3 linked regions of the Arabidopsis thaliana genome follow. Each later gene encodes a partner of the first gene's protein in a complex. Each region holds a gene or a part of one and is shown in the gene's direction. Other genes may lie near its edges.

Evidence for each region.
Region 2: the proteins of AT3G27360 (region 1) and AT3G43240 are in contact, whole or in part, in a crystal structure (PDB 6LQE), measured with the Arabidopsis thaliana proteins. Residues at the interface, in NP_189372.1 of Arabidopsis thaliana: Ala2 (codon at 2,569), Arg3 (codon at 2,572), Thr4 (codon at 2,575), Lys5 (codon at 2,578), Gln6 (codon at 2,581), Thr7 (codon at 2,584), Ala8 (codon at 2,587), Arg9 (codon at 2,590); in NP_189910.2 of Arabidopsis thaliana: Glu675 (codon at 6,537), Ser683 (codon at 6,649), Thr684 (codon at 6,652), Ala685 (codon at 6,655), Gly686 (codon at 6,658), Asp687 (codon at 6,661), Trp688 (codon at 6,664), Val689 (codon at 6,667), Asn690 (codon at 6,670), Trp697 (codon at 6,691), Phe711 (codon at 6,733), Tyr714 (codon at 6,823), Ala715 (codon at 6,826), Gly719 (codon at 6,838), Leu720 (codon at 6,841), Glu721 (codon at 6,844), Tyr722 (codon at 6,847).
Region 3: the proteins of AT3G27360 (region 1) and AT4G31880 are in contact, whole or in part, in a crystal structure (PDB 7DE9), measured with the Arabidopsis thaliana proteins. Residues at the interface, in NP_189372.1 of Arabidopsis thaliana: Ala2 (codon at 2,569), Arg3 (codon at 2,572), Thr4 (codon at 2,575), Lys5 (codon at 2,578), Gln6 (codon at 2,581); in NP_194916.2 of Arabidopsis thaliana: Val615 (codon at 5,681), Trp616 (codon at 5,684), Trp617 (codon at 5,687), Pro618 (codon at 5,690), Met619 (codon at 5,693), Asp620 (codon at 5,696), Tyr624 (codon at 5,884), Tyr642 (codon at 6,095), Asp644 (codon at 6,101), Asp646 (codon at 6,107), Glu648 (codon at 6,113), Leu650 (codon at 6,119), Gln655 (codon at 6,134).

The regions. Positions count from the first base shown.
Region 1 is NC_003074.8:10,128,325-10,132,434, reverse strand, and holds AT3G27360 (Histone superfamily protein), read left to right. Parts: upstream 1-2,497; 5' UTR 2,498-2,565; coding exon 2,566-2,976; 3' UTR 2,977-3,330; downstream 3,331-4,110. Other genes in the region: SDH2-1 (succinate dehydrogenase 2-1), read left to right, coding at 1-435, 1,061-1,226; AT3G27355 (Hop-interacting protein), read left to right, coding at 3,897-4,110. UniProt on the Arabidopsis thaliana protein: Core component of nucleosome. Nucleosomes wrap and compact DNA into chromatin, limiting DNA accessibility to the cellular machineries which require DNA as a template.
Region 2 is NC_003074.8:15,208,840-15,216,958, reverse strand, and holds AT3G43240 (ARID/BRIGHT DNA-binding domain-containing protein), read left to right. Parts: upstream 1-2,011; 5' UTR 2,012-2,518; coding exon 2,519-2,671; intron 2,672-2,915; coding exon 2,916-3,107; intron 3,108-3,324; coding exon 3,325-3,378; intron 3,379-3,466; coding exon 3,467-3,555; intron 3,556-3,686; coding exon 3,687-3,963; intron 3,964-4,070; coding exon 4,071-4,127; intron 4,128-4,258; coding exon 4,259-4,290; intron 4,291-4,437; coding exon 4,438-4,573; intron 4,574-4,659; coding exon 4,660-4,833; intron 4,834-5,232; coding exon 5,233-5,472; intron 5,473-5,666; coding exon 5,667-5,969; intron 5,970-6,045; coding exon 6,046-6,183; intron 6,184-6,264; coding exon 6,265-6,363; intron 6,364-6,458; coding exon 6,459-6,559; intron 6,560-6,647; coding exon 6,648-6,738; intron 6,739-6,819; coding exon 6,820-6,927; 3' UTR 6,928-7,128; downstream 7,129-8,119. Other genes in the region: AT3G43250 (coiled-coil protein (DUF572)), read right to left, coding at 1-246; AT3G43230 (RING/FYVE/PHD-type zinc finger family protein), read right to left, coding at 7,360-7,544, 7,679-7,874, 7,968-8,119.
Region 3 is NC_003075.7:15,417,956-15,426,501, reverse strand, and holds AT4G31880 (transcriptional regulator), read left to right. Parts: upstream 1-2,190; 5' UTR 2,191-2,562; coding exon 2,563-2,664; intron 2,665-2,947; coding exon 2,948-3,151; intron 3,152-3,236; coding exon 3,237-3,418; intron 3,419-3,750; coding exon 3,751-3,877; intron 3,878-3,952; coding exon 3,953-4,144; intron 4,145-4,260; coding exon 4,261-4,299; intron 4,300-4,407; coding exon 4,408-5,253; intron 5,254-5,344; coding exon 5,345-5,458; intron 5,459-5,644; coding exon 5,645-5,703; intron 5,704-5,879; coding exon 5,880-5,931; intron 5,932-6,088; coding exon 6,089-6,172; intron 6,173-6,249; coding exon 6,250-6,299; intron 6,300-6,403; coding exon 6,404-6,466; intron 6,467-6,559; coding exon 6,560-7,067; 3' UTR 7,068-7,555; downstream 7,556-8,546. UniProt on the Arabidopsis thaliana protein: Cohesin cofactor dispensable during the meiotic division but playing an important role in DNA repair by homologous recombination (HR) probably by helping SMC5/SMC6 complex.

The DNA.
Region 1 (4,110 bases):
GGTATTAGATGCTTTGATTAAGATCAAAAACGAAATGGATCCATCTCTTACTTTCCGTAGATCATGCCGTGAAGGGATCTGTGGTTCATGTGCTATGAACATTGATGGATGTAACGGACTTGCTTGTTTGACAAAGATTCAAGATGAAGCATCGGAGACGACGATTACACCGTTGCCTCATATGTTTGTGATTAAGGATTTGGTTGTTGATATGACTAATTTTTATAATCAGTATAAGAGTATTGAGCCGTGGTTGAAGAGGAAGACTCCAGCGTCTGTTCCTGCTAAGGAGATTTTGCAGAGTAAGAAGGATAGAGCTAAGCTTGATGGGATGTATGAATGTATTCTTTGTGCTTGTTGTAGCACATCTTGTCCTAGTTACTGGTGGAATCCTGAGTCTTACCTTGGTCCAGCTGCTTTGCTACACGCTAATAGGTAAGTGGGGGAAATGATAGTGTTTGATGATTGTTTCGAGAATTTGCTTGTTGATAATGGATATAGAAGTTGGATTTGTTTGGAGGGATTGGTTGCAAAATTGTAGGACTAGGAAGCTTTAAGCTGCATTGATCCATATATGTTGTTTATTCAAGTCTATTTTGCTGTCTTGGTAAGTGAAAAAAAGATTGTTTGAAGGATTGGTATGTTGAAAATGGATATAGAAGTTGGCTTTTTGGGGAATTGAATTCCAATTGTAGGACTAGGAAACGATTTATCTTGTAGTCTGATTTTGGAGTTTGCATGGATGGTTGGGAAGATTTTGTATATCTTGTTGTTTAGCTGCATTGATTCTCATTCAAGTCTATTTTGATGGAAAGTGGTTGCAAATTGTAGAACTAGGAACCCTTCACTCTTGGAATTTGCTTTCAGAATTTGCATGGATGGTTGGGAAGATTCTCATATATTGTTGTTAGCTGCATTGATTTCACTTATGTGGTTCTTCACTACTGTATTACTGTCTGAATTGTTGTTTTGGTTTAGGAAGCTGATCTATATATGGGGCATTCAATAGAAATTTGACCTTTCGATGTGTTTGTAACAAGAGACTTGTTGGTATGTGTAGGTGGATAAGCGACAGTCGTGATGAGTACACTAAGGAAAGACTTGAGGCTATTGACGACGAGTTCAAGCTTTACCGTTGCCATACAATCTTGAATTGTGCTCGTGCCTGTCCAAAGGGTTTGAACCCAGGAAAACAGATTACTCACATCAAGCAACTTCAGCGTTGAAACAGCTAAGTTTGTGTGCGGGATCCGTTGGGAAACTCATCAGTCTTAACGTTTGAAGCTAATAATCTTCACAAAACCTCTTCGGATTTTCAATTCATTCTTGTATTGTTGTTGCCAAATATTAGCGCCTTAAAAAAACTCGTTTGCAAGTCTTCCCAAGTAGATGAGCTTTGTGGTTGTATCTTGCTGAAAATCTCCTCTTTAAGTAATAAAACTCGAGTAAACTTAAACCTCATCTACTTATCATCTACTCTTTTGTGTTCCCTCTGCATTGGCCTATGATAAAATCATTTCATGTACTTGTGTCTCTGCCTTCTGTACACATGAACACAACGTGATGTATTATCAATCATAGCTTAATCATAGAAAAGTATCAATCATAACTTCCTTGACATTTATGATTGACTGCGTAAGTATAACTGCAAGTACTGATCACACAACAAACAAGAAAGATGACACCGGCAACACTAGCTATATTCTTTGTCTCTTTGGTTACTATTGGAACAGCAACCGATGTTGCTCCAGCAACTAAACAACAGTTTGAGTTCTTTCCGAGCTTGCGGGAGCATCAGAAGTCTCTATTTGTTACTGTGGAAGGTACCATAGCTTCGAATACTAGTTCTAGAAAGTAAAAACAACGATAATGTTTTTTAACTGTGGAAGGTACCATTGCTTTTTGTTGTTGTTCTTCACGTGCAGGCTGCAACAACCATTGCCTAACAGCTTGCTGTGACTGCAACATAGAAAAACAGCCTCCCGTTTGTGTTCAGTGTTGCCCGATTTGAGCCTTGAACTCCTTATGTTCATGTATGTTTGAAGACTAGAGACAATGTAGAAGATTTAAAACACAATTCAGGATGTCAAACTTGTGAAACAGAGGAAGCTTATGTGATATTTTATAAGTAAAAAAAACAGATATCACAAATAGAGAGAGATCAGAGTTTGTATTGTAAAAGCCTACAAATTTTCGCAATCTGTTGATGGAATAAATTCATTGAACAGATCGTAATATCAAAGATGAAAACACTTCTGTCTCACTCAGAGTCTTTGGATCACAAACACCGTTACACATCGCAATAATTAACACGTCATCATAAATATCCCACGTGTAGAATCCTCGACAACTGAAAGAATCACTCTGATTGGTTACTTAACATACGACGCAGATAGCAAAGATAAAAACAATCTTGACCGTTTAGAGGAAAACACATCTAACGGACCAAATTCTCTCTTCTTTGAGTATAAAAAAGCATCCCAACCTCACTCTGTATATACCAATCAAACACGACAGTCTCAACAATCAAAAGCTTCAAATTTTTCATTGTCAAGAATTCTCAAAATGGCTAGAACAAAGCAAACAGCTAGAAAATCCACCGGAGGAAAAGCTCCTAGAAAGCAACTGGCGACGAAAGCAGCAAGGAAATCAGCTCCAGCCACCGGAGGAGTGAAGAAGCCACACAGATTCCGTCCAGGAACAGTAGCGTTACGTGAAATCAGAAAGTATCAAAAAAGCACAGAGCTTTTGATCCGTAAGCTTCCTTTCCAGAGATTGGTTCGTGAGATAGCTCAAGATTTCAAGACGGATCTTAGGTTTCAGAGTAGTGCAGTCGCAGCTCTTCAAGAAGCAGCTGAAGCTTATTTGGTTGGATTGTTTGAAGATACTAATCTTTGTGCTATTCATGCTAAGAGGGTTACGATTATGCCTAAGGATATTCAACTTGCGAGGAGGATTAGAGGTGAGAGGGCTTAAGATTTGAAGAAGATGAAGAAGAAAAACAATGGTCTAGTGTAGATTTGCTTGTTTGCTCTCATAAGATTTGTAGATTCATGTTTTAGATTTGGTTTTGAGTTTTCTTAGTCTTTTGTTCTGAAGTGTCTTCCAGATGTTCGATGAAATGCCCAAATGAAAATTTAATCTACTTTTGCAACTTTCTAAGAATCAGTCTTCAGTTTAACTTATTAGATTTGCAATTGAAGTTGTCATTTTGGTTGTAACTTATTTGTATATTGTTACATCTGTATTCAGGTCTTAGTGACTTGTGTCAAAATGGTTCTAATTTATTGACCAAAGCAGGGTTAATCATTTTATTTTCCTGCAGCATAATCTTCTCTCTGTTATCAAAGTCCTCTTTCAGTGGTGAGAATTATGTGTTATTTTATCGATTAATTCATCACAATAAGTTTAAGAAATTACCAATGTACTGTTGGTCAGTGGTAAATTTTTTAGGTGGAGGTGCTGAGTTCGAGGTGGAAGGTATCTCTTTTCCAAAAGAGTTGAATTTAACCTGATGTAGAGAAGATATATGATTTTTAGATTTGAACTTTCAGATATTAAAAAAAAAAAAGGTTTAAGAAATTGAATCAAAGTTTTTTTAAATTGTGAGTACTAAGTATAAACAATAATGTAACCTCAAATTCTAAATTCATATATGTTCTGTTTTTTTTTTCTTTTCTGTAATGGCAAAGATAAAGAAGTCTTCAATTATTTAAGACCTGCACGTTATCTATAACAACAACTCATTGACTTAACCCACAAACTACTCTTGTTGTTGGATGTTACGTTTTGACTCCATTAAAGCTCTTCTTGGCTTATATATCATTCAAGCTAACTTCCAAATTCGAAAAATCTCTCTCTCTCTTTCATTCTTTCTTTAATATTCGACGGTTGAGATGAGACGACAAGGTCGGCAACATGGTCTTGTCAGAACTTACCGGATTCTTCCACCACCGCTTAACACAAGACCGGTCAACTCTTTGACTTCACCTCAACCTTCTGAGTTATTAACCACATTGCCATCAAAACCAAACAAAGCTCACCGGAAAGTGTGGCCTGGTCAAGTGCATTGGGTGAGATCAAACGACATTGCTTCATCAAGCTACAAAC
Region 2 (8,119 bases), 5.1 Mb from region 1:
TTTGGTGCACTTGATGTAGAACCTGTGGATTTTTAGACCTAGGTACGTCTCGGTGATGACGTCTTCTTGACGGCAATTGAATTTGGTGCCTTCCGACATGTAATTACCACATGTGTTGCAGCGAACACGAACTGGAAGCATAAATCTAATCTTTTTCTGCTGGTTCTTCGGTTTCTTGATGCGGTGTATCTTCTTCGGATCAAAATCTGGCGGATAATACTTGTTTAGGTTTTTGCGTTCTCCCATAACTTCAGAGCATACAAAGAAGAAGAATCAAACGTTTACCAAAAAAAGAAGAGAAGCGAATCTAACTTCTCTCTTGATATATCTCTATTGCTCTGTCTCTTCTTCTCTCTTGTATTTTTTGTTTGGATGATCCTTAAAAGTTATGAGACATTCTCTTTATATAGCCGAAGATGAAGTTGCTATGTTTCTTCTTTTTTTTGCTTGGCCGACTTATAGAAAAAGGCAAAACAAATAACACGTTTATTTTGTAATTTTCAACTTTTATTTATACATAACGACTTAACGTAAAGTTTTATGCTTTCATCCAGCAAAGAATTACAATATGTTTATCTATAGATCTCACACGAGGCCCAAATTTATAAATTGATGAGTAAACACATAAACTATTTAACAAAATTAGTATTATACTCATAAAAATAATGTTATAATATACATCAATATATATATATATATATATATATATATATATATATATATTTAAATTAAGATAAGAAAAATGTAAATACTTTAAACTAAGAAATTATAAGATATCATGATCGTCTAGATTTTCATTATTTACATAATTTTGATATAGTCGATCACATCGATTTTTCAATACGCTCCAACAAACTCATAGATAGTAACACATGTGAGATTAAGTCCCATGTATAGATAACAACAATCACAATATGTATATTCTTTGTTTTAGTATAGAACATAGGTAATGACAATGTTTTACACTAAGATAGAATATACATATTGTTAGTGTAGCTTTTACCAATGACAACAACACAAGGCGGCTAATAAAAAGCAGCACAATGCGTACATTCAGCTAGGATGGCTCAAAGTCAATGAGAAATGTCAAATATATACGACCCAGGAAAGTAACACTCCAGTACTTCACGATATGTAACAGAAAGATGGAAAAATGATTTTTCACAAATATATCCAAGCTTTATATGCCTAGGCAAAAAACCCGAATCTAAAGAACTGAATCGAATCCGATCCGAAAAACGTGATCCAAACTCGAATCCGAAATTTTAGAATACCCAAACGGATTTTAAACTTCAAAACCCGAAACCGATTTGAATCTAAATCCGATCAAGTATCCAAATATATCCAAAATATATATACCTAGAAATGACTAATTAGTAATAATTACATATACAACAACTTAAGTGCATAAACATTAAACATTTAGATTTTAAAATATTTTATATATTTTTGGATACTTTACCTATTTTCGATAGATTTGGATAAAAAATACTAACGTTTTTTTTAGAAATTTTGTGTATTTTCAAGTAATTTGAATATATTTTGATATAAATCTTAAATTTTGGATATTCCGGATAAACTTGAATTCAAACCCGAAAAACTTGGTCTGAACCCGATCCAAACCCGATCTAAACCCGAAATCTTTCAATACCCGAACAGATCTTAGAATTCTAAATCTAAAATATCCAAACCCAAATATCTTGATCTGAATCCGATTCGAATATCAGACCGCCCAGGCTTACTTTGTAATACAATTATCAAAAATAAGTTTGACCGACCAGCATGGTAAAAGTCTTGCGGTTGCGGTCAAATAACAAGTGTAGGGAAGAGGATGTCTATACTCGCTCTATCTGGACAAGAGACAGACGATGATCAAAGTGTAGAACTTGGAAGTTCCAAGTAAAATGAACATATCTTCTTAAAAGTCTCTTACATCCTCATGATGATGTTCGTTGGTTTTAGCTCCTAAAGAGTTAAACGAAGCTTTGAATTAAAACACGATTAAAAGATGTGAAACAAAACAAAAAAAAACACAAAAAAAAACCAAACACAACAACATTTTTAGTTGTTGTTGTTAATTAATTCCTCTGTTTGGTTTTTTAGTTAAATTTCTCTTACCTTTTGATTAACAATTTTGCTTTGATTTTAGTGTTACAAAGATAAACACTGTAGAGTATTATTATTATTATAGCTTCTTAAAAGAAAAGATTCATCAATTTGTTTATTGTTGTTCTTCAGATTTTTTCTAAATTTTAATCTTTTGTGTTTGTGATCTTTTGTGATGGGCCTCTTCTCTCTGTTTAGGTTTCTCTTTTTCCAATAAAATTCGTCTTCTTCTTTTCTGGGTACCGTCGATTTCTTCCTACGAGTTCGAAATTAGGGTTTTTTTCTTCTTCTTAGGGCTGATTTTGAGGTCGAGTAGTGGGTTCTTAACGAACTTATTCGTTGAATTTCTTTAGGGTTTTCTTTGTGGTCTAGTTTCATAGAGAGATTAGAAGTTTGGTTATGCTATTGAACGATGTTTCATGGACAAGGGTTTTCGAGAAACCGTTGTAATGTTGTGGCAGTTGTTTCTGGAGCAGAGCTTTGCGATACTAATAACCAGATAGATGGAACTTCTCATCAACCCAAATACCCTTTTCCAGATCTCTCTTCTTCAGGGCGTCTCAAGGTAAAAACACTTTTCTAATTCTCGTAATTGATTTGCTAGATTGTTGGTTGAAAGTTGGAACCTTTAGTAAGTTTAGACAATGTTGAACTAAGTTTGGGAATTGTTAGCTGGTGAGAGTTGTTGCTATAGGTTGTGTTGCTTGAGGCCTTTAGAAATTGGTAGACTTGATGGGAGAATCTTGGTTCTAAGTGATTTCTTAATGGAGATGTTAAAGCATTTGGTGTATGCTTTTTTCATGTTGTAGTTTCAGGTACTGAATAATCCTACGCCGGAGGAGTTCCAGGTTGCTGTTAACTCTTCAGCAACGGATTTTGTGTACTTGCAAGGGGAACATAGTGGAGATAGTGATGAAGTTGGTCCCTTAGTGTTGGGATATACTGATTTTTCTACTCCTGATGCCTTGGTTACTCTGTTTGGTTCCACATTACCGACAACGGTAGGTGCATCATTCGTTGTTTTACGTTTCTCGTTTTTAGTTAAGGATTTCCTTTTACGTTGATGCCTCATGCCACTAAGATTTTCTTAATAAATCGCTGTTAGTCTCTTGACAATGTGCTTAAAAGGCTCCATAGAGTATCCTCTACATGAATGTTAAAACATTTTCCATACCTAGTGAGATATTAATATGTTTTGGCATCATATTGTTTTCACAGGTTTACCTTGAGCTCCCAAATGGTGAAGAATTAGCTCAAGCACTCTACTCTAAGGTACACCACTCTTGATAAGCACCTTTCACTTTTCTTCTTATTACCTCTTTGTTGCTCTATTTCACCTAATGGTGATTTTCTTTTGCAGGGTGTTCAATATGTTATTTATTGGAAAAATGTTTTCTCGAAATATGCAGCCTGCCATTTTCGCCATTCTCTGTTTTCAGTCATACAGAGGTAATTGTTTACTCGAGCATCTGACATAGCGACAAGCCTTAATTTTAGTCTGATTTACATCTATATTTTATATAGTTTTTTCCCCTAGTCTACAAATTTATTTGACAGTGATATGCTCTTTGGCAATGCAGTTCGTGCAGCGATACATGGGATGTGTTCCATGTTGCAGAAGCATCTTTCCGACTCTATTGTACAAGTGACAATGCTGTCCTTCCTTCTAACAGCAACCGTAAAATGAATTATGAGATGGGACCTTGCTTGCTTGGAGAACCTCCAAAGATTGATGTGGTTTCACCGGAAGCTGATGAACTAGAAGAGGAAAATTCATTAGAGAGCCTCCCATCAATAAAGATATATGATGAAGATGTTACTGTGAGGTTTCTTTTGTGTGGACCACCATGCACAGTGGTGGGTGTTGTTGACCTTCTCGCGCATTTTATGATACTGGCTTGTTTGTGCAGATGTTAGTATTTCTTTATGCTATCTTCAGTTACAAAGCTTTTTCTCTATTTCAGGATACATTTTTACTGGGATCTTTGATGGATGGACTTAATGCTCTCTTGCGAATAGAAGTGAGTAGTTGGTAGTTTACAGTTTTGATATTTCTTCATTAGTGCGCATACTAAAATGTATGGATGGACTTAATTGTATATGTCTTCTTTTAGTCCTTTTAAAAGAACGTTATTTTTTTATATTGTTCCAGATGCGAGGAAGTAAGCTCCATAACCGTTCTAGGTATGTAATTTCTATAGCCAAATGATATGTTGCGCATCCCTCGAATAACCTTAAGATTAATCATCTATGGTTTTGTGCCTTTTGACTTAGTTTTAAGACGTACTTGGTTACTTTTCATTTTTTTGCTGATCAAAATTGAAACTGCAGTGCTCCAGCACCTCCTCTTCAAGCAGGAACATTTACTCGTGGTGTAGTGACCATGCGTTGTGATGTCTCGACCTGTTCTTCAGCACACATATCAATGCTTGTGTCTGGAAATGCGCAGACCTGTTTCAGTGATCAGGCAAGGGATTATATCTTTTGAAATATAGCTTATCTCTGCATACATGTGCAATGGGATTTATTATTAATCTCCTATGTAAATATCAGCTTTTGGAAAATCACATAAAACATGAGGTCGTTGAGAAGATCCAACTAGTCCATTCAGTGGTGAACTCAGAAGAAACAAAGCGGGGTTTCTCTGAGCCTCGTAGATCTGCCTCAATAGCTTGTGGAGCAAGTGTGTGTGAAGTTTCGATGCAAGTCCCAACATGGGCTCTGCAGGTTAATAATCTCTTTCTTTCCTCGACTTATATTTGTTGTAGATAGTAATCTTTAGCCCAATTATTTATCTCATGCACCTTGTTTCCAAGTTTCTCAACAATTTAGTCAGCCAAAGTAGTCACAAGAGTTTCAGATGAAAAGTTTGTTATGAAATTGTAACGGGTAGAAATAAAGGCTTTTCATGTTTCTTAACGTTTAACTCAAGCTTTGGGATGTCCAAGGACCATTTTTCGTGCTTTATTGCTTTCACTCTTTATTCATGATACTTGTGCATTTTAAGTGATTACATCCAGATAGTCATGTGATTTACATTCTCTTTGGGTTCTCAGGATTTTTTGCGTTTCATGAGTTTCCACTTGCTAATGCGTGACTAAGAAAAGGTTATTTTGCTTTCGACAGGTTTTAAGACAGTTGGCGCCGGATGTGTCATACCGCAGTTTAGTCGTTCTTGGAGTAGCTAGCATTCAGGGGTTGTCTGTTGCTTCCTTTGAGAAAGATGATGCAGAACGTTTACTTTTCTTCTGCGGACAACAGATCAATGATACTTCAAATCATGATGCTCTTTTATCCAAAATTCCTAACTGGTTAACACCTCCTTTGCCAACCAGAAAAAGATCCGAGCCATGCAGAGAAAGTAAGGTACTGTTTCGGATATCGCAGGTTGAAACTTTCTCTCTATACAAAATGTTAATTTGGAATTATTCTTTGTTCATGAGCTAGACTCTATGATTTCAACTCTAATCAGGGATAAGTTTTGTGGCCATACTTCTGCCAAATGTTCATCAGTCTTCATGTATATACTGATTGGATGCTGTGACAATATTTATATTCAGGAAATTGAAAACGGAGGACCTACATCAAGGAAAATCAACGTGGCTGCTTTGAGACCAATACCTCACACCCGTCGACATAAGATGATACCTTTCTCTGGTTACTCTGAAATTGGAAGATTTGATGGTGACCACACCAAAGGAAGCTTGCCTATGCCTCCAAAGCATGGTGCATCAGGTGGCACTCCAGTAACTCACCGTAAAGCTTTCTCTGGTTCGTACCAGAGAAAGCAAATCATCTCACTAAACCCTCTACCTTTAAAAAAACACGACTGTGGAAGAGCGCATATTCAAGTTTGCTCAGAGGTTTGCATTGTTTTTCTTGTGATGAATAGTTTGAACTTATAAACTCCTCTTAACATTGCTATCTCTATATATGTAGGAGGAGTTTCTGAGGGATGTAATGCAGTTTCTGCTAATACGAGGACATACCCGGCTAGTTCCTCCAGGGGGACTAGCGGAGTTTCCAGATGCTGTTCTCAACTCAAAACGGCTTGATCTCTTCAACTTGTATAGAGAGGTAGTTAAGCAATGATTTGATTTTGTTCAACCAAGGCAGCCAGCATTACATTTGGTGAGCTAATAATGAGAGTTGTTGCAGGTTGTATCACGGGGAGGGTTCCATGTAGGTAATGGGATCAACTGGAAGGGACAAGTTTTCTCAAAGATGCGCAACCACACACTCACAAACAGAATGACTGTAAATGATTTTGTTTTCTTGTCTCACCACTTGATTTATTCTTGAAAAATCAGAGAATGTATATCTGATCATCAGCTCTGGGGTTATTATGGCAGGGTGTGGGTAATACCCTGAAAAGACACTATGAGACGTATCTATTGGAGTATGAGTATGCTCATGATGATGTAGATGGAGAGTGCTGTTTAATATGTCGCAGGTACATTAAGAACCCTCTCTCTCTCTTGTGTACACGGTTAATAACGCCTTGTTTGTTAACGCGCTTTGGTTTGGTTTGGTTGAAACAGTAGCACAGCTGGTGACTGGGTGAACTGTGGATCATGTGGAGAGTGGGCTCATTTCGGATGTGACAGAAGGCCTGGCCTCGGCGCCTTCAAGGTAACTAAACGAACACATCGTAAACTCGTAATAAGCATCAATGAATAATATGTGTACTGATGCAACATATGATATATACAGGACTATGCAAAAACAGATGGGTTGGAATATGTGTGCCCAAATTGTAGTGTCTCAAATTACAGGAAGAAGTCTCAGAAGACCTCCAACGGTGGCTTGCTTGTACCTTAGCTTTGTACCTTAGGTTCATGTTTCTTCTTTTGTTGTACTTTTGCCTTGGAACCAAATGATTGATTGATTCCTCTAATGTTTCACGAGTTTTTTTGCAATGCAAGGTTTTTTTTCTTTCCATTATCTTTATAATGAATCGGAGAATGTAAAAATAGTGAACGTTATAGATTTTGCATCATATTTAAGGGACTTGCCAATATCATTTTATCTGTAACAAATGAATAGACATGCAAATAGAACCAAGCTTTGATAAACAAGCTTCAAAAAGGTAAACAAGCTTTGATAAAATAAGTAAATCCCAAATCGTTCACACAGTTTGGGGAAGCAACTGTTTGGTTCTAGAGAGAAACAATTTATGTACATTTACACTTTAATAGAAACGAATTTGAGAAGCGTATATATACAAAGCGTAGTTTGTAATGTGAATGGAGATTACGGGCGCAAACGAGCATAGAGCTCTCGGAGGGCGGTGTACAACGGTTCAGCTGCCTTGGGTTGATCCACCATCCCAAGTAGAATGTCCGATGTGGATAGGTATGGATCACCATAGAACTTTACATTCATGTCCCTTCTTGTTGCCACCAGATTTCCTTCTAGAGATACTCCCACAAATGCCCCTGTTCACACAACACAACAACTTCTCTCAGGTTATAGATTTACATTTCAACTTCCTCTGTATTATTGAGCTACGAGTCTGGCCAAATTATAGATAAAGAGAAAACTTAAGGCATGAAGTTGAGATGGGGAAAACCTTTGCTGCGGCTGTAAGTATAGCAGACACCAGAGCCTTTGTCACCAGCTCGAAGGTCAGCCTCCAACACTCTCCCGATAGGCCCTGCTGCTGCACTGCATCCCGCGCCTAGAGAGAAGTGCATTCTGCTGCAGAATGTCTTCACGGCTTTCACATCATGAAGCACTATTATGAAGTCCATCAACTCACCTCCAATCTGACAAAAAGAGTACAAATCTTCTTATGTGGCTATTGAAAACGCATCTTTAACTCTAACATGCATGTCTTGAATGGAAAAGATGAAGTTTACCTGTGCACCCCATCCAAGACCTACTGATAGTATGGCAGATGGAGCAGACCATGACCCGTCTGGTCTCCGAGATATTACCAGACCAGTCCCGAGTTTGTATGACAGTAAAGCCCCAGCCTTGGCAACCGTTATGATTGCCAAACCTTTAGCTC
Region 3 (8,546 bases), on another chromosome or scaffold:
TTTTTTTTTGGTTTGGTTGGTGGTTTTGTTAAAAGTAAAAAAGCCAAATTGGTCTACTAGGCTTAGCGTGAAAAGTATTGTTATAAAGTTATAGAGTTTGTTAGCTTTTACTTTTACCAATTTTATCAGCTTTTTTACTATTATTATATGGTTAAATTAATACTGTATCTTTCCACCTTTTTTTTGGCTTATGAGTGAGTACTCATCCTTAAAAAACTTGAGTAAGTTTATATTTTTCTCTTTTGTTAAAAGAGTAATGCTTATATTCGATGTGTACTTTGTAAAAACCCTACAAGATTTTAAGGATGGTCCAAATTTGAAATAGTACACGTCTAAAATAATTAACAACATAATTGAAAGGTGGGAGAGGCATGTGGGAGTGTGAGTGCTTTCATTAAAGACAGTCTACTTTATTTAAGTTTTGATATGATCTACTGTTATGGAGAACACTCTTCTTCGGCTACTAAAAGCTGCACTAGCTGTCTCTGGATATCGACAACATACTTATCTTATCTATTGCCGTTTCATTTCTATAATAGTTAGTTTTGCCATGCTCGATTAATCTAGATTTTACATATTAGTTTTGGCATAGTAGTGTTACTTATACTCCTTTTCTAATAATACATTTGAAATTTGAATATCACATTGTTTATACTTCTAGTATCTATCCTCTTTAATTTTTCTGGTTAAATATACCTGCCCCCTTATACTTTAATGTGTAAACATGCTACAAAATCATCTCATTCACATTGTTAGAGAATGGTACGATATGAAACGTGTATAAGTCTCTGTAACCGCTTAAACTTGTCGCTATCTTCTTCCGTGGGAATGCGAACTCAAGCAAATTCCCCAAGAAAAGTCATCTTTGCTCTTCACATACACCGACACCTACTACCACCAGTGCTTATAATATTCTATAATTTTCAACATTGTTGTTTATAATTTGGTATAAGAAAGTAATATGTTTTTTTTGACAGAAAATATATGCTTAGAGGGGTTTTCTATAAGGTCTTATTAGAATATGATGACAACATTTTAACGTCTTTTTTTTTCTCTATCTGGGTGAAGACTACCTTTGCGACGAGTGAGAGAGGAGGTAGCTAGCGATAAAGTAATTTTTTTTTTTTTTTTTCAAGTACTTAGCAATCAAAATGTGCTACCTAGCAAATTATCACTATTTTTTAGTAATGTTTAATATTTGCATACAAACCCTCTTATGGGCTTCTCGACGATGCTAGGAATCTGATTTGGGCCTAATGTTAGATTAGCCCGTTTGTGTTTCATATAGGGTTTCTGAGCAGCCTAACTATTGGGCTGCACGCTTGAGGTTTGAGTAATTCTACTAACCAAGTGTTAATTAGCTATAGACATGAGAGACAATAGGTAAATAATAAACTGGAGGCCCTTTAATATGTGTACATACGATAACGATGACTATATTATACAGTGTTAGTCCTACAAAATTCAAAACTTATTTCTATGTTTTGGGACAACATGCTTAGGAATAAATGATTTTTTTTTTTCTTTTTCTTAAACCGCTTAATATTTTTTCTTTCATCCAGTTTTTAGTTGTTGAATCTTATATTTGATTTCATGTTAATGCAATATGAATCGTTATAGTTTATGGATCTGTTAACGATAAATTTAATAATCTATGTTTCTTTTTAGAGTTCTATCTAGGTCTATATTCCCAACATCTTAATATACCAAATAGTACATATGTAGAATCAAAAAAACAATCTAATATAGAATCGTATAAACTTAATAGTGACAAAATCTTATTAAAATTGAATCTTACCAAATTCTTATTTTTCTTCTTTAATATGTCAACTACAAATTTCTACATATATTTGTTTTTCAGGATTTTATCCTTTATACTCATTTTTATTTTATTTTTCATATGCTTCATGTGAGTCTGGTTGATAAAAAAGCAAATAATACTCACAAAATATATAAAAATCGGATATGAAAGCAAATAATGAGCTAACCTGAGTTTATAATCTAAAGTAAAATCCGAAATAAAGGGAAAAAATCGCAATACTGGATTTCCTTGATTTTTGTATTCCATTTTTCTATAAAAAAATTCCATAAAAGAGAAAGAGAAATAAAAATAAATGAAGAAACACATCTCGTCAAATAGACGACCAACTAATAAATTGCCGTACACCAAATATTAAATACATCCCATTTTTTTATTTAAAGATTATATATATATCTTTTTAACGGCGCTTGAGGACTCTCCTATTTTTCTTTACTTTTTTTTTTCTTTAGTTTTCTGTAAACTGTTAAGATTGAGAGAGAGCGAACAAAAAAAAAAAAAAGAGAGAGCGGAGAGAAGAAAAAAAACCCTAGCGTGTTGTTCAGTGACTTTGGGGGGAAAATTTCTCGTAGTTTCTTCGCTAAATCCGTCTTCTCATCTCTTTCCATTTGTGGAATTCAATGGAAGCTTTAGGTTTTTGGTGCTGAGAATTCTCTGTTTTCGAATCTAGGGTTTGTAGAGGAGATCTATTCAATTGTAGATACGCAAGAGCGAAACGAGTCAGAAAACTAGGAGAAGGAGTCATGTCGGATTCTGATAAAGAGCTCGAGAATCAGATTATTGAAGCTGGGGAAAAGCTTATTGACCCGCCTTCTTCACTCGATGAGCTTCTCTCTTTCCTTGACGTGAGCTCTCATCTCCTTCACCACCCCCTTTTGTTTCTTTCTCTTTTATTTTGGTCTTCTTCTTCGGATTCGTGGCAATGCTAAGTCTGTGCATGTGTTTACTCTCGATTTCTGGATTTAATGCTCTGTTTCCTTCGTCTCTTTTACTCTCTGAATCTACTCAAATGCTTTTATTCCTGCATTTTAGATCTTAGTTACGGTTGTTTCTCGGTTTGGGATAAAAATCCCTGTGGTTTTGGAGTTAGTGAGTTTGATTGATGATCCTTGTGCTTTATTTCTGCAGAAACTTTTCGTATCCCTGGCGGAGGTTGAACAGTCACCTCCCGACTCAATGCAGAATGCACTCACTCCATTGATGAAAGGATTAGTCGGTGGAAAACTCTTCAAGCATTCAGATGTCGATGTCAAAGTTGCTGTCGCTGCCTGCATCAGTGAGATTACAAGAATAACTGCTCCTGATGCTCCTTATGATGATGACCAGATGAAGGTATGTAGTTGTTTGTTATTTTTTTCTTGAGGGAGTGGACATTATGCTGGTTGGTTACTGACTCTTTTCTTCTATTCATGTGCAGGAAGTATTCAAGTTGATTGTATCATCATTTGAAGATCTGGTTGACAAATCTAGTCGTTCCTATGCTAAAAGGATATCTATCCTTGAAACTGTGGCTAAGGTCAGGTCATGTGTTGTGATGTTGGATCTTGAGTGTGATGCACTTCTTATTGAGATGTTCCAGCATTTCCTCAAGGCTATAAGGTACACTCTAATATATCCATTATGCTAGAATTAAACTCATTGTTTTTTCATCTTGTAATGTAATGTCCAGGAAATACACATACATGGAATTGTCTACTTGTTTATTTCCCTGTTGTTCCTTTATTTCCTTGTGTCATGTTTGATTAATGGATGTTGTTGTTCTCATTTGATATCATTTCATTCATGTCGTTCTACCTATCCATGGACTATGCTACTTTACTTTATGTACTCGCAATATAGTTCACAACTAGTCTATTGCTTGTTGCTTATGTTTGCTTGTACAACATCCAATAAGTATGTTTGTCTGATGTTGAACTTGTTTACCCTTTCAGGGACCATCATTCAGGGAATGTATTTTCATCTATGGAGAACATAATGACCCTTGTTTTAGAAGAAAGCGAGGATATACCTTCAGAGATGCTTTCACCAATCCTACATTCTGTTAAAAAGGATGATGAGGTAATACATGGATGGTCTACTGATTTTCTATCACCAACCAATGCTCTTTTGTTAAATCTTTTAACTTATCAACAGATTTCCCAAGTATCACGGAGGTTGGCAGAACAAGTTCTCAGTAACTGTGCTAGCAAGCTCAAAACTTATCTGACCGAAGCAGTGAAATCGTCGGGTGTCCCTCTAGATAAGTATAGTAACATAGTGGCTTCGATATGTGAAGGGACATTCAGTGCTTTGCAGCAAGACCAAGTTGTTGCAAATGAAAAAGAAGTAAGCCTTTATTTCTCACCTTTTTTACTGCCGCACTGCCTCAACTTTTTTAGTGATTATGCAGGTCTTCAGTTACATTAGCTCTTATACTGTTCTTCCATATTTTTCCTCTCCAGGATAGTCAAGGTCATATAAAAAGGGAAACGGAAGTAGAGGTACGATAGTCATTGTTGATTTGTATGAAAAGGATAGATGCCTTTCTTCTTTTAGCTTTTGTAGATTGTTAATTGATTTTTATGTTCCAATTAAAACATGATAAACAGAAGGCAGCAGAAATTTCTACCCCTGAGCGAACTGATGCACCTAAGGATGAATCTGGTAAGTCTGGAGTTAGCAATGGTGTCGCGCAACAGAATGATTCTTCGGTTGATACTGATTCCATGAAGAAGCAAGACGATACGGGTGCCAAAGATGAGCCGCAGCAACTTGATAATCCTAGAAACACTGACTTGAATAATACTACTGAAGAGAAGCCTGATGTTGAACATCAAATTGAGGAAAAGGAAAACGAATCTAGTTCTGTCAAACAGGCGGATTTATCAAAAGATTCAGATATCAAAGAAGAGACTGAACCTGCAGAACTCCTGGACAGCAAGGATGTGTTAACTTCGCCTCCTGTTGATTCATCTGTTACCGCAGCCACCTCTTCTGAAAATGAAAAGAATAAAAGTGTGCAGATTTTACCATCTAAGACATCAGGAGATGAAACTGCCAATGTCAGTTCTCCGTCAATGGCTGAGGAACTTCCTGAGCAAAGCGTCCCTAAGAAGACTGCAAACCAGAAGAAAAAGGAGAGCTCGACAGAGGAGGTCAAACCTTCTGCTTCTATTGCTACCGAAGAAGTTTCTGAAGAACCAAACACGTCTGAACCTCAGGTGACAAAAAAGTCTGGAAAGAAGGTTGCTTCGTCAAGTAAAACAAAGCCTACTGTTCCTCCTTCAAAGAAAAGCACCTCTGAGACAAAAGTAGCCAAGCAGTCAGAGAAAAAGGTAGTTGGGAGTGATAATGCACAAGAATCCACAAAGCCAAAAGAGGAAAAGAAAAAACCAGGACGTGGGAAAGCCATTGATGAGGAGTCATTACACACTTCATCTGGTGATAATGAAAAAGTGAGTAGTTCCCTGACCTGAATTGATTCGAATACATATCTGACTTCCCTGTCCTTGTCCTCTTACCGATATGGTTTAATTTTATTTTCAGCCAGCTGTTTCCTCCGGAAAGCTAGCCTCAAAATCAAAGAAAGAAGCGAAGCAAACGGTAGAAGAAAGTCCTAATTCAAACACAAAGAGAAAACGAAGTTTAGGCCAAGGGAAGGTATGTTTTCTTCACTTCACCAATTGCCATTTGCAGTAGTAATTGTGCATGGGAGCAGCTTCTTATTCTCTTCAAGTTGAAGAAATATTCTCTGAAACGATTATCCTTTAATTGTACTGGTTTCCTTTGCTCTGTACGAGTTTTTCTTTTTGTATACTTTTTCATACCGAATCAATTCTTGGGCAGGCATCTGGTGAAAGTTTAGTTGGATCGAGGATCAAAGTCTGGTGGCCTATGGATCAAGCGTAAGCATTTTGTATTTTCTTCTTAGGAATTATATTTGATTTACAAGAAGGCAATTTGCATTTTCTCTGTTCTGGACTTCTATGTTTGTTCCTTTAGACAGCAGAATCTGGACTACCTGTTATTGTAATTTTTTGTTTTCTATGCTTTCAAATGAGTAATCTGTTTTTTACCGCAGGTACTATAAAGGTGTGGTCGAGTCATATGATGCTGCAAAGAAGAAACATCTGGTAAGCCCAATTTTATCCGTCTCCCCTATTTTGGTTCGCCTGATTTGTTTGTGGTCAACCAGTAGCCTTTTGAATGTTCTCCTAAGCTATACATCTTTGTTTCAGGCCTTTTTATGGTATTTTAATTGTTGTATGCTGTTGCCATGTTCGTTTGCAGGTTATCTATGATGATGGAGATCAAGAAATCTTGTATCTCAAGAATCAGAAGTGGAGTCCTCTGGATGAATCAGAATTGTCACAGGTGGGGCATTATATTTCATCCATCTCTGGCTTTTTTTGCTCTTCGCCTATTTTGTAACTTACACTTTCTGTCATCAGGATGAAGAAGCTGCTGATCAGACGGGTCAAGAGGAAGATGCCTCTACAGTGTACGTGTTACTTCTTTAGTTCCGTTGTTTATGTGGCACTGGAAGGAATAGCTAGATGTCATCTTTTTACTTGTGATGACCAAGCTTAGCATTTTGTCATGCAGGCCCCTGACGAAGAAAGCTAAGACAGGCAAGCAATCAAAGATGGACAACTCATCAGCTAAAAAGTAATTGAAACTGAAAGCAAATAGTTAACAAGTGTTGAAGTCTCTAAAATAATTCTCTACTAATACGTAATATTGTACTTCTGATGTATTCAGGGGTAGTGGAGCTGGATCAAGCAAGGCTAAAGCTACTCCTGCTTCCAAGTCCAGCAAGACGTCCCAGGATGACAAAACAGCGAGCAAATCGAAGGATTCAAAGGAAGCTAGCAGAGAAGAGGAGGCGAGCTCTGAGGAGGAGAGCGAGGAAGAGGAACCCCCCAAAACCGTTGGTAAATCAGGAAGCAGCAGGTCGAAGAAAGATATAAGCAGCGTATCGAAATCTGGGAAATCTAAAGCTTCATCCAAGAAAAAGGAAGAGCCCTCCAAGGCAACAACTTCTTCAAAATCCAAGTCGGGACCTGTGAAATCTGTACCTGCCAAAAGCAAGACAGGAAAGGGTAAAGCAAAATCTGGTTCTGCGTCTACACCTGCTTCGAAGGCCAAAGAGAGCGCTTCCGAGTCAGAATCTGAAGAGACACCCAAGGAGCCAGAACCAGCAACTAAAGCGAAATCAGGCAAGTCACAGGGGAGTCAATCAAAGTCCGGTAAGAAGAGGAAGCGATGAGTGTCTGGGCTTGTGCTCTTTTCTCTTTTGAATTATGATGGTTTATGTAATTTAAGGTGGAAAGCGATAAGCGTGTGGTGGGTAATGGTGGCCGTGAAATTGAACATCGTCTTGAGCAGTAGAAGTGTAGAATTGTTTTAAAGACAAACGTCTAGTAGTGATGCTTTTTTATTTACTTAGGTTTTGATTTCAGATGTAGTTTGTGTTAAGGTGGATACATAAGGAGGTTGCTTTGGTTATTTTCATTTCATTTTATTTTTTGACCCACGTTTTTCTGTCATCTATCTCTCCCTCTCTTTGGAGTGTTGCAGAGAAAATTTGGGCAGAAAAAAAAAGAAAAGGGAAACACATTCCGACGATTATTAGCCTGTTATCTTCCTAAATCATCATTTGAATTTGACTCGAGTGTTTATGTTGAGTTATGGATTTGTGCTGCTATTCGTAACCCTGGTTTGGGAACATTAGACAAGAAAATAGTTTGAATGCTTTCTAATGTGTATGTATATCCACCAGTACTGGGTAAATCGGCAGGTTCTCTAGTAACTTCAAAAAAATTGCTATTTTTTGAAAATGTTACTGTACCAAAAACTTTAAAATATGGGGCAAAGTGAAACTCGTTGTGACTGGGAGTTGTGTAGTCTTGTATACTCAGAGATTTTCCTATCTTATCTTTGTAATTTAATACTATGATTTGTTTCTAGATGAAACAAAGACTTTTCTTACGAATATATGTGTGGTTTACGAAATGCTCGGAGATTCCTAAAAGGATACCCAATGTTTGCTTCCCATATTTAAGGAATATTCCATTTACATTAGCCATACGTAGGATTTAAAACTTTTAATTTATCAACAAGCCTTGCAATGAAGGACCTTAGGCCAGTAGATCTGAGGTCTTAGATGGGGTTTTATAGTATTTTTTTGCGCATAAAGTTGCAAGTTATACATTATTTCTTTCATTTTTTCAGGAAAAGAAAAAGTAACAAACTAATAGTAAGAGATGTTTAATTAAAACAAGATCTAGAGACATTAACAAACGGAAAAGAAACATTATTGTTATGCGTATAAAAAAATAGATGTAATACATTGGTGAATGGGATAACATGTGGTCCATGATCCCATACTCTCTCTCATTTCTCACTTTTCATAGGCCCAGATGAAATATGGGTAAAATGTAAACACACGATTCGTTTATTAAAAACCTAATTAGAAAAATGATTTTTTGCGTTCTGTGAACTGGTTTTATCCAACATAAATATATTTTAAGAACTCTTTTGATTTGTATTAAGGTAGACTACTAGACTCCGAGCAACTATCTTTTTTTTTTTTTTTAATATAGATGATCTGCTTCGTTTTTTCGGTTATGAAGATAACCAGACATTTGATGTTTTGATAGATATTATAATCATAATCTAAATTTGACATGCAATATAGTTTAATTTTTAAAACATATAAAAAAAGCGATCATAATATCTTGTAATA